2 linked regions of the Coturnix japonica genome follow. The protein of the gene in region 1 interacts with the protein of each later gene in a biochemical or structural test. Links are inferred from orthologs where the notes say so. Each region holds a gene or a part of one and is shown on either strand. Other genes may lie near its edges. The genes, in order: PBX1 and HOXB1.

Evidence for each region.
Region 2: the proteins of PBX1 (region 1) and HOXB1 are reported together in a solved structure, tested with the Homo sapiens proteins (2 studies listed by BioGRID and IntAct, with this or other methods). The link is inferred for Coturnix japonica from reciprocal best matches to the Homo sapiens genes PBX1 and HOXB1.

What each region holds. Positions count from the first base shown.
Region 1 is NC_029523.1:6,332,270-6,336,775, reverse strand, and holds the start of PBX1 (pre-B-cell leukemia transcription factor 1), read right to left. Parts: upstream 2,875-4,506; 5' UTR 2,573-2,874; coding exon 2,382-2,572; intron 226-2,381; coding exon 152-225; intron 1-151. UniProt on the Homo sapiens protein: Transcription factor which binds the DNA sequence 5'-TGATTGAT-3' as part of a heterodimer with HOX proteins such as HOXA1, HOXA5, HOXB7 and HOXB8. Binds to the DNA sequence 5'-TGATTGAC-3' in complex with a nuclear factor which is not a class I HOX protein.
Region 2 is NC_029542.1:3,237,012-3,241,410, forward strand, and holds HOXB1 (homeobox protein Hox-B1), read left to right. Parts: upstream 1-1,453; coding exon 1,454-2,057; intron 2,058-2,772; coding exon 2,773-3,098; 3' UTR 3,099-4,224; downstream 4,225-4,399. UniProt on the Homo sapiens protein: Sequence-specific transcription factor which is part of a developmental regulatory system that provides cells with specific positional identities on the anterior-posterior axis. Acts on the anterior body structures.

The sequences.
Region 1 (4,506 bases):
CCAGCGCCAGAAGCACTGCATACCAGTGAGCTGTTTCTCCCCACTTAAACACTCCCACACACAAGGATCAGGGCGGGGGGGGGGGTCACAAACTTTGTGGAATAACACCTTCAAAGAGCAGAAAGCAAAACCAACGGCGTGGCTTCCCTACCTGTTTTTTCTTTGATTTCACACAAGACATTAAAAAGAGCCGGCTTCATCCTGTGGCAGTTTAAAGCGTGTTTCCTGCAGAGAAAAGGGGAAAAAAAAAAAGGGGGTGAGGTTAGGATGAGGTGCAGCCACAACTTCCCCAGACTCACAGCAGCCTGTTGGTGTGCCCCAAGGGTGGGGGGATGCTTGGGGTAGAGCCCTGCTAGGACCTCGGGGGTGCAGTACCGGAGCGGCCAGCAGCCATCTCCCCAGTGGAAAGGGAAGAAATAAGGCCAATTTTGAATGGCTTTCAATGCAGCATTTGCTACTGAGCTGCTCTCAAGGCAAGCAGCTCCCCGAGCCAGGAAGCTCAGAAGCCAGGCTTGGTTTAACTCTCATTCACACACACGCAGCACCGCGGCGGGCTACCTCCGTCTCCCACCTCCAAACTAAAGCCAGCCATGTGTTTCATCCTCATCCTGCATAGCAGAGGGAAGAAAAGCCCCCCCCTCCTTCACCTCCCCCCAGTGCTGAAACATCCTCTGCTGAGAGCTGTCAACCCAGGCAATTTCAGCGCCCAACTTGGAGCACCGACACGCACAGCCACAGGCACGCGCGCAGATGGAGAAATAAATCCGGCTCTCCGCACCCGTGCCGCACTCCTTGTGTGCACCCAGCTTCGTTGCAGGTGGTAAGGTTGAATTCCTTTCAATTGGGGCAGGAAGTATTTACAAAACACAGCCTGGTGCTGCTGGGAAGCGGTGGCACTGCGCTCTATGCGCTCTATGCTCCCTTCTCCAGGTCAGCGTTGCGGGGCTGGCCGCCCTCCGCCTGTAGGTTTGGGGCAATGGAGAGCTTTTAAGGGTGGTTTTACAGGTTTCACAGCCCGCTGGATGCCTGCAAAGCAACAACACGGGATGGCTGTGGGTTCCTCCTGCAGCCCTATGAGGACTCGGCCGAGGGCTGTGTGGTACGAAGGGCTGCTCTTAGCAGGCGCCGGTTACGGGATTTCTGTTTACCAACCGAAACAACACGCGAAGCCGATGTGAACATCTGGCAAACATTCACACCACTTCCCCCCCACCACCCACAACATGTTGGGAGAGATTTATGCGGCCGACGAAGCATCCCCAAAGGTGGATAAACCTCGCGGAGCCACGGTGCGCCCCTTAGCAGATGGGAGCAGGAACTGGGGTGCACAAATCACGTAGGGGCACCAGTGGGGCCCTGCTGCAAATCACACTGCGGGGAAGAGGCCGAGCCCCAAAGTTAAGGAGGAAAACAACAAGAAGTAAAAAAGCAGCAGAACACCCCTATGATAGCTGGATGGGTGCAGGAAATGCAAAGCCAAAGACCTCTGCTAAATAATGAGTGTTTGGCAGCAAAAAGTCTTATGAAGATGGTGCAGGAATTGCCCGGCGAGGCAAAACCTCACCACCTCTTAAGGCTGCTCGGGTCTGGGCAGCTGAGTTGGACCAGTGTGAAGAAGCACCCTAAATGCTCTTAATTCCCATAACTTCCAGGAGAAGAGAGCTCTCTCTGCCCTATAGATGGGAAGAAAGTGTGCTGCGTCGTCCTGCTCCCAGGAGCACCACCAGCAGTGGGGTGAGGGCTGCGCTCCCCATGCAAGCTATCCCGAAGTTGTGCTGTGCTTCCATGCCTTCTCCCAGCAGCAGGGGATGTTGTGGCACTGCACCCCTCGGCCTCACGCTGGGTGAACTCTGAGTGCACCCCAACAAGGCCGACCGACTCTTTAATTCCCATTATTTACCCCTCAAACCCTGCCTTTAAGTTGGATGGTGTTTTCTTCTCTCCCCAACTTTCGCTCGCACCCCATACCCTACAGTTTTTCCTTTCCCTCCTTCTCTAAGAATACCCTGGGGTTTATGGGGAGGGAAATAAGAATAGGGTAAGGAAATTAAAGGCAGAAAGGCAGGCGGTGCGCTCACCCTGCCAGCAGAGAAGCACGGCCTCGCCAAGCCGGCGCTGGGCCCCGCCGGGCAGCGGCACCGCGCTGCGGGAGCGAGCGGGCTGCGAGGAACTGCCCCAAAGTTACAAGAAAAGGAGGAAAAATTATTTCCTAACGCCCACTCCGATGGAAACGAGGATGGGAAGCAGCAGCCCGAGCCGAGGGGAGCGGGGAAGCCGCCCTCCCGCCGCACAACAAAGCCGCACAAAGGGCTGCGAGCCGGGCTGCTCTCCCCCCCGCCGCCTCCCCCCGGTAAAGTTCCCCGCGCCCGCCCTCCGCTCACCTGGCCTGCGCCTCGTCCAAACTCTGGTCCGTGATGGTCATGATCTGCTGTAAGATGTCTCCGATGTCCTGCTTCCTGCCTGCCTCCCCCTCCGCCCCGCCTGGTCCATCCTGCATGTGCTGGGACAGGCCCGGGTGGCCCGGCATCCCCACCCCGCTGTGCGTGTGCATCAGCCGCGGCTGCTCGTCCATCTCCGGCCGCCGGCTCCCGCTCCGCCGCCTCCCTGCTGGCTGCCGGCCGCGGCGGCTGGGCTGCCCGCCTGGCTCCGCGCTTTCTTTTCTTGCTCGCTTTCTTCTTCTTCTTTCCTTCCCCCCCCTCCTCCTCCCCGCAGCCTCTTCCTCCTCTTGGCTTTTTTATTCTTATTATTATTATTTATCCTTCACGCTGCCTTCCAGCTCGGCGGTGGAGAGGAAAAGGAGGAGGAGGAGGGAAAAAAAACGCGCACACACACACACAGAGACAGAGAGGGGAAAAAAAAAAAAAAAAAAAAAAAAAGGAAAAAAAAAAAGAGAGAGAGAGAGAGAAAAGAAAGGGGAAAAAAAAAATCCCTTTGGTTGCTGGAGGAGGAGGAGGAGGAGGGATGGAAAGAGGGAGGGAGGGAGGAGGGAGGGGGGGGGTTGGGGAAGGGAGGGGAAACGGCGGCGACTCCGAAAGCAGGGCAGCGGCGCGGCCCGGGAGGCGGCGGCGGGGGGCGGGCAGGGCGGGCAGGGCCGGCGGGCAGCGGGCGCCGCGGGGCGGAGCGCAGCGCCGAGCGGAGCGGGGCGGCCCCAGCGATGGCAGCGCCGCGGGGCCGGAGCTCGGCGGGAGCGCGGCGGGGGTGGGCTCCAAACTTTCCCCCACCCTCCGCGCTCGGCTCCGCGCCCGGCAGCGGCGCCTTCCCCTCCGGCCGGGCCTGCACGCGGCGCTCCCCACCCACCCCTCACCCCGGCCCTCGCCTCCCGCTTTTGTTCGGCTCCGGACTCCTCAAAGTGGCACGGAGGAGCCCGAGGAGGAGGGACGGAGGCGGGGGGGGGTTGGCGAGGAGGAGGGAGGAAGGGGCAGCGGCGGCTCTCCGCCCCCCCGGCCCCATTGGCGGCGGCGGAGGGAAGGCCGGCCCACACGGGCCGCACCGCCCTCCCGGCGGCCGCCCGTCAATCTCCGGGTTCAGAGGTGGGCCGGGGGCCGCGCCCCGCCCGCGCCTTAAAGCGGCCTCGGCCTGGGGCGGGTGGGAACGAGCAGCGCCGCGGTGCGGTACTGCAGGCCGGGATCCTTCCTTGGCCTCTCGGGCATCAACGGCCCCGGCTCGCAGCAGCTCGGCCCCGCCGTCACCCCCGGCGCCTCCCTGGTCCCCCCACTCCGTGCCTCAAGCAGCTCCTTCCTTCTCACCTCAGCCATCCTCATCTCCTCGCTGTGCTTTATCTCCTCCACCGACCCACGAGGTCCCACCGGTGGGGCCTTCCCGTGCAGTGAATCCGTGCCCCCCATGCCTCCTGTTAAGGTTGGAAAAGACCTCTGAGATCATCAGGCCTGGTGCAGTGCCATACACCAGACCAGGCAGCCGTGGAGGTGGCTTCCATGGAGGTCTGGTGGTCTCAGCTGTTCTCTCAGCACAAGGGAAGGCCCAGCCCCAGTCCCTGACCTCAGCTGAGGTCGGGGATGGAGCCATCCAGCTTATGGGAAAGATAAAAATAATAACAACAAGGCAATTGTTTTGCTTCTGCCCTTCCTTTCTAATGAAACGCTTTCCAATATTTGAAGCAAAACACAGCTTTCCACTTGGAAATTTCCTCTCAAGCCGCTCGGCTGTTGTGAAGCGGTTGAAGGCAAAGCGAGATGTTTTGATGTTTGTCGCTGCAAAGCGTTTCACTCGACACGTCCTTTTTGTTTCTTGGCTTGCCAATGTTTTTCATCAGCTTTTCACCCGCGATGTATCTATGTCTTTTGTTGTTGTTGTTGTTGAAAAGGCCAAAAACGAGGAGAAAATATTCAGTATCTCCATGGCTGCGCAGGAAATGGAACTTCATCCAAGGAAGAAAGAGCCAAGGACTCCTCTCCAAAGGCCCAACCTTTCAGACACTTAGTCAATCCCCTCACTCGCACACCAAGTCTAGTCTAGTTCCAAAGGGGCTGCTCCAAGGCAGGCACC
Region 2 (4,399 bases), on another chromosome or scaffold:
GTTGGGCAAAGCTCACTTTCTCTCTAGGGGACGTTTGAAGACGGGAGGAGGGCTGATGCTATTGCAGTTGCTTAACAAATGCCATCCCAACGGGTTGCATCAGCCACACCAAAGCTCTTGCATTAAAGAACGTGCTTATGCCTTTCAAAGTGAACTTTTGGCCCGATTTAAGGAGGGAAGAAAGAAAAAAAAAAGGCCCTCCTGGCTCTTCCTAGAGGCTGAATAACCAGTAAATATCCTGACAAGTAACAAATGACTGTGGGCGTCATATTGTTGGGTGCTCTTGTCTTCCCTTTGCTAACAAGTAAATAAATGTTGCCTACCTATGTTTCCATTCTCTGAGCAGTGGAGTGGCCGGGCTGAAGTCAATGCCTTTCCACCTACTCATCAGATGGGATCTGCTAGAGGGAATCTCCAGGATCACAACAGACTCAAGGAAAGGTCAAAGCAGGTTCGATGTAGGAAAACAGCCCCTAAACCCACCGGTTACAGCCCTTAAAAGCATCTCTTGTTCTCAGAAGTGGATGTGTAAGCAGGTCGGTACATGGGAGAAAGGATGGATAGAAAGATCGGTGGGGTTAGTAAAGAGACATATGTGATTTCTAGTTCCTCTGCTCCGATTGCTAAGCTGGGCATGGTGTCTCTCCAACAAAAGACATTCTGTCTTCCTAACTTTATTTCAACTCCTCATTAGAATACAGATTTAATTACGTTGCTTTCACCCATACTGGCCCTGCACACAAAGCCAGAGTGATTTTATTATTAATTAAGACACATAGAGCAGTTTTTTCGTAGGAGTTTTAGCCCAGGAAGTTCCAAATATGTTCAACTTTCAAGGGAGAGTTTCACAATGAAGAAAAGAGCATCCTTTTGTAGTTGGGGCTGTGGAAGGGAGGAAGCAGTCAGACCTCCCTACCTCTTTTTCCCTTGTCTTCCTTTCAGATGAAGCTAAGATCGGAGAAAACCTTTTATTAAGTTGGGGAAGGGGAAATTCTGCTGAATTTGGCTAACCACATCACTTGGGAGCCTTTTTAGCACTTAAAACAGTCGTAGATCATTCTAACTCTTCCCCCCCCCAGTCCCCTCTTCCCCATCACCTCCCCGCACCCCACCTCCCTCCTCTCTTTTTTAAGTCTTTGAGGAAAGATTTTGACGTATTCGTGTTGTTATCAGATTGATGGGCAGGGTTTGATTGAAACCCCTTTGTCATGTAAATGTCATCTCCTTGATGGATGAGCTCAGAGATGTGACAAACTTTAGGAGCCCCTCGCTCATTGGGCTGGGGGTGGACCACGTGGACCCCCCGCCCCCACCCAGGCCCCGCCGAAGGCTCCGGGGTTCGAGGGCCAGCGATGCATGGAAGGAAGTTTTACAGCTTTGACATACTATCTAAAGGTTGTAGGGCAGGCGGAATCCCCCCCAAAACAGGCTGACCCTCCTCCATCAGTGGCAGATGGACAATACTAGGATGAACTCCTTCTTAGAGTATGCAATTTGTAACCGTGGGACGGGCGCCTACCATCATTTAGAGCAAAGCTCCCCTTCCTTCCCCTCTTGCTCAGGTAGCCCCTCCAGTGACACTTACCATGGAGAAGGGCGCTTCGGTGCTGGGGGCAACACGGTCTCGGCCACCCACCTCCCCCCGCAGAGTCCCGGCTTCTTCCCCGCTACCTCCGGGCGCTCCGTGCCCTTCTCGGCCGCTGCCCCGAGCACCGGGTACCCAACCCAGAACTGCAGCCCCGGCTACGGGCACCACCAGCTCTACCTCGGCCAGCAGGACTCGGACGGCGTGTACTTCCAGGCGGCCGGGTACTCCTCCAGCTCCGGACCCCACCTTGGCCCCCTGGCTGATGGCTATTGCGGGGCCGTAGGGCAATACCAGCAGCAGCACCTTTACGGGCAGGAGCAGCCCGGTTACTTGCCTGGGGTTTACGGCAACCTCTCGCCTTCCCTAAATGAGGACAAAGACCCCGCGTGCCCCTCCGAGCCGTGCCCCAATGCCAGCTCGGCGCGGACCTTCGATTGGATGAAAGTGAAGAGGAACCCCCCCAAGACAGGTGAGTTTGGGGAGCGCAGGGCTTGGTGGGTGGGTTGGGGGGGGGTCCCCATCCGGGCTGAGAAGGGTGGGCGTGAAGGGGGGGCCGTTCTGTAGCCCTGATACGAAATGTTGTCTTCCTTGGGGTTTCTGCTCGAGGTAGTTGGGCTCCTTTGCTTGAGGAAGACATATTTTTACTCTTATTTTTCAGCTCTATAGAAAAAACAGCTAGCGATTTTCCAGGCACACCTGGCAGAGGGTCACTGAGCTCGCTTGCCCTAAGGCCCAATGCAGTTTAAACCGAGCTCCGAATAGGAAACGCTCCCAGTTTCCTGCTTCCTCCACAAAGGTGGTTTCCACCTCTCTCATTGTTCAACATCCTTCTCGAAAACCTTCCTTAAATCCGGAACTTCCCTCCTCTCCCCCGCCATCTTCCCCCTGTCCCCCCTCTCCCCCTCCCCTTCCATTCCCTCCCACGCACGTTCAAGTTTCATGGAACTTTGCAGGGAGCTGGGATGACTGCAAGAGAAAGGAGACGCTCTGCAGATCCCAGGGCAGCGTTTCCCTCCCGGTTTTGTGCCTGGAAAGCCAGGGGTGCTGAGGGGAGGCTGAGAGAGGTGGGGGTCCAACACGCAGCACAGGGGATGCCCACTCAATCAGACAGCCCCAGGACCCCCAGGCCCATATAGGGCCATCCTTCTGCTGCTTCTGCCCTGTTGTTTTTTTGCTCCTTACAGCTAAAGTGTCGGAATACGGGCTGCTGGGCCAGCCCAACACCATTCGCACCAACTTCACCACCAAGCAGCTGACAGAGCTGGAGAAGGAGTTTCACTTTAACAAGTACCTCACCCGGGCCAGGAGGGTGGAAATCGCCGCTACATTGGAGCTCAACGAAACCCAAGTCAAGATCTGGTTCCAGAACAGGCGGATGAAACAGAAGAAAAGGGAAAAGGAAGGTCTCGCTCCTCCTGCTGCTTCCAGATCCGGAAAGGAAGCGAGTGAAGCTTCGGATCAGTCCAACTGCACCTCACCTGAGGCCTCCCCCAGCTCCGTGTCCTCCTGAACCGCGGTCCCGTGGGACACAACGACCAGGTCGGGGCTGCCTTCGAGGGCTGCTGCCCCCCTCTGCTCCCCGCAGCCCCACCCGCACTGCCCCGCACAGCCCCGGCCTCACACGGCTTCCCTCCGAGCCGCCCCTTTGGCTCCAGCCGCCTCCACCCGTGCGCTGCCCATTCCCCTTTTGCCTTCCTCTCTTAATTTATAGACCCTCCGTCAAACGTTGGACTCCAAAGGAGCGGCCGTGTCCTCATTTATCCTTAGCAATAGGCGTTTGTCTCAGGGACGTTTCTCCCTTCTTCCCTTCCCAATAGGAACTGCACTTTCAACTACAGAAACTTGAAAACGAATTTAGTTCTTTCCCGTTTTAAAGATGTGCACAACGATTTTTGTCCGCACGCATCCTGAGTTTGCTGTATTATTCCTCCCCTCGATGTGGTTAAAAAAGAAAAGTTTGGCTTTGTTTCCCTTTTATATTTACTCTGTGTATCTCGGAAAGAGCCCAAGACGCTGAAAGCCTTTGGGAAGACCCGAAAAAGAAAAGAAACAAAGCAAAAATGCAACTCCTCTGCTGCCATTTTGCACTACCGCCGCTTGACAGGGTTTCCTACGCGCTGTCCGCCCGTATTACTGATCCTGGGGGTGGGAGCGTTGTGCTATCAGATAAAACGAGATAAGGGGAAGGCTGAGCCCGGGGTGCTTTGGACAACGGTCATTGCTGCACCGAGTGTGAACGTGCACGGGGTGAAGGCCGGGGGGGTTGGGGAGGGGTCCGCACTGCGCTCCCCCAGCCCCGACGCATTGACTGCTGTTTATTGGACGTCTCGATAGCCTCAAGTCTTGGGGTGAAGCCGCACGGCTCCTTGTATCCCCAGCCCCTTAGGTTTATCGGAGTCCGATAAAAAGAAACATTATTAACCACGGCCAGTTGTTACCCTTTGCCACCAGAAGCTTTAGCGCAGGGAGAAGTGAAAACCACGGCGAGTTTCGTTAAAGATTGTTTTAAAGGGATAAAAGGTCATCCTGAAAAGCCTGTGGTTTCTTAATCGGAATCTGTTTTCCCTCCACTCCCTTCCCCGTGCTCTGTTTTTCGAAATGAAGCTACCTCAGTTTAATAAAGTTTACTTTTTCCACATTCGAATCCTGTCGGCTCTAAGCGGAATGGCGAGCTCCCACACCCAGGAAAATGCACGGGGAGAGCAGCCGGGCTTGGAGGGAGGAGGAGGAAGGAAAAGGTCTCAGGTTGCTGCCAAAGCTTCCAAGTCAAATGCTCCATCTTGATTTCTGGGGGTCTCTATGGCCCCCACC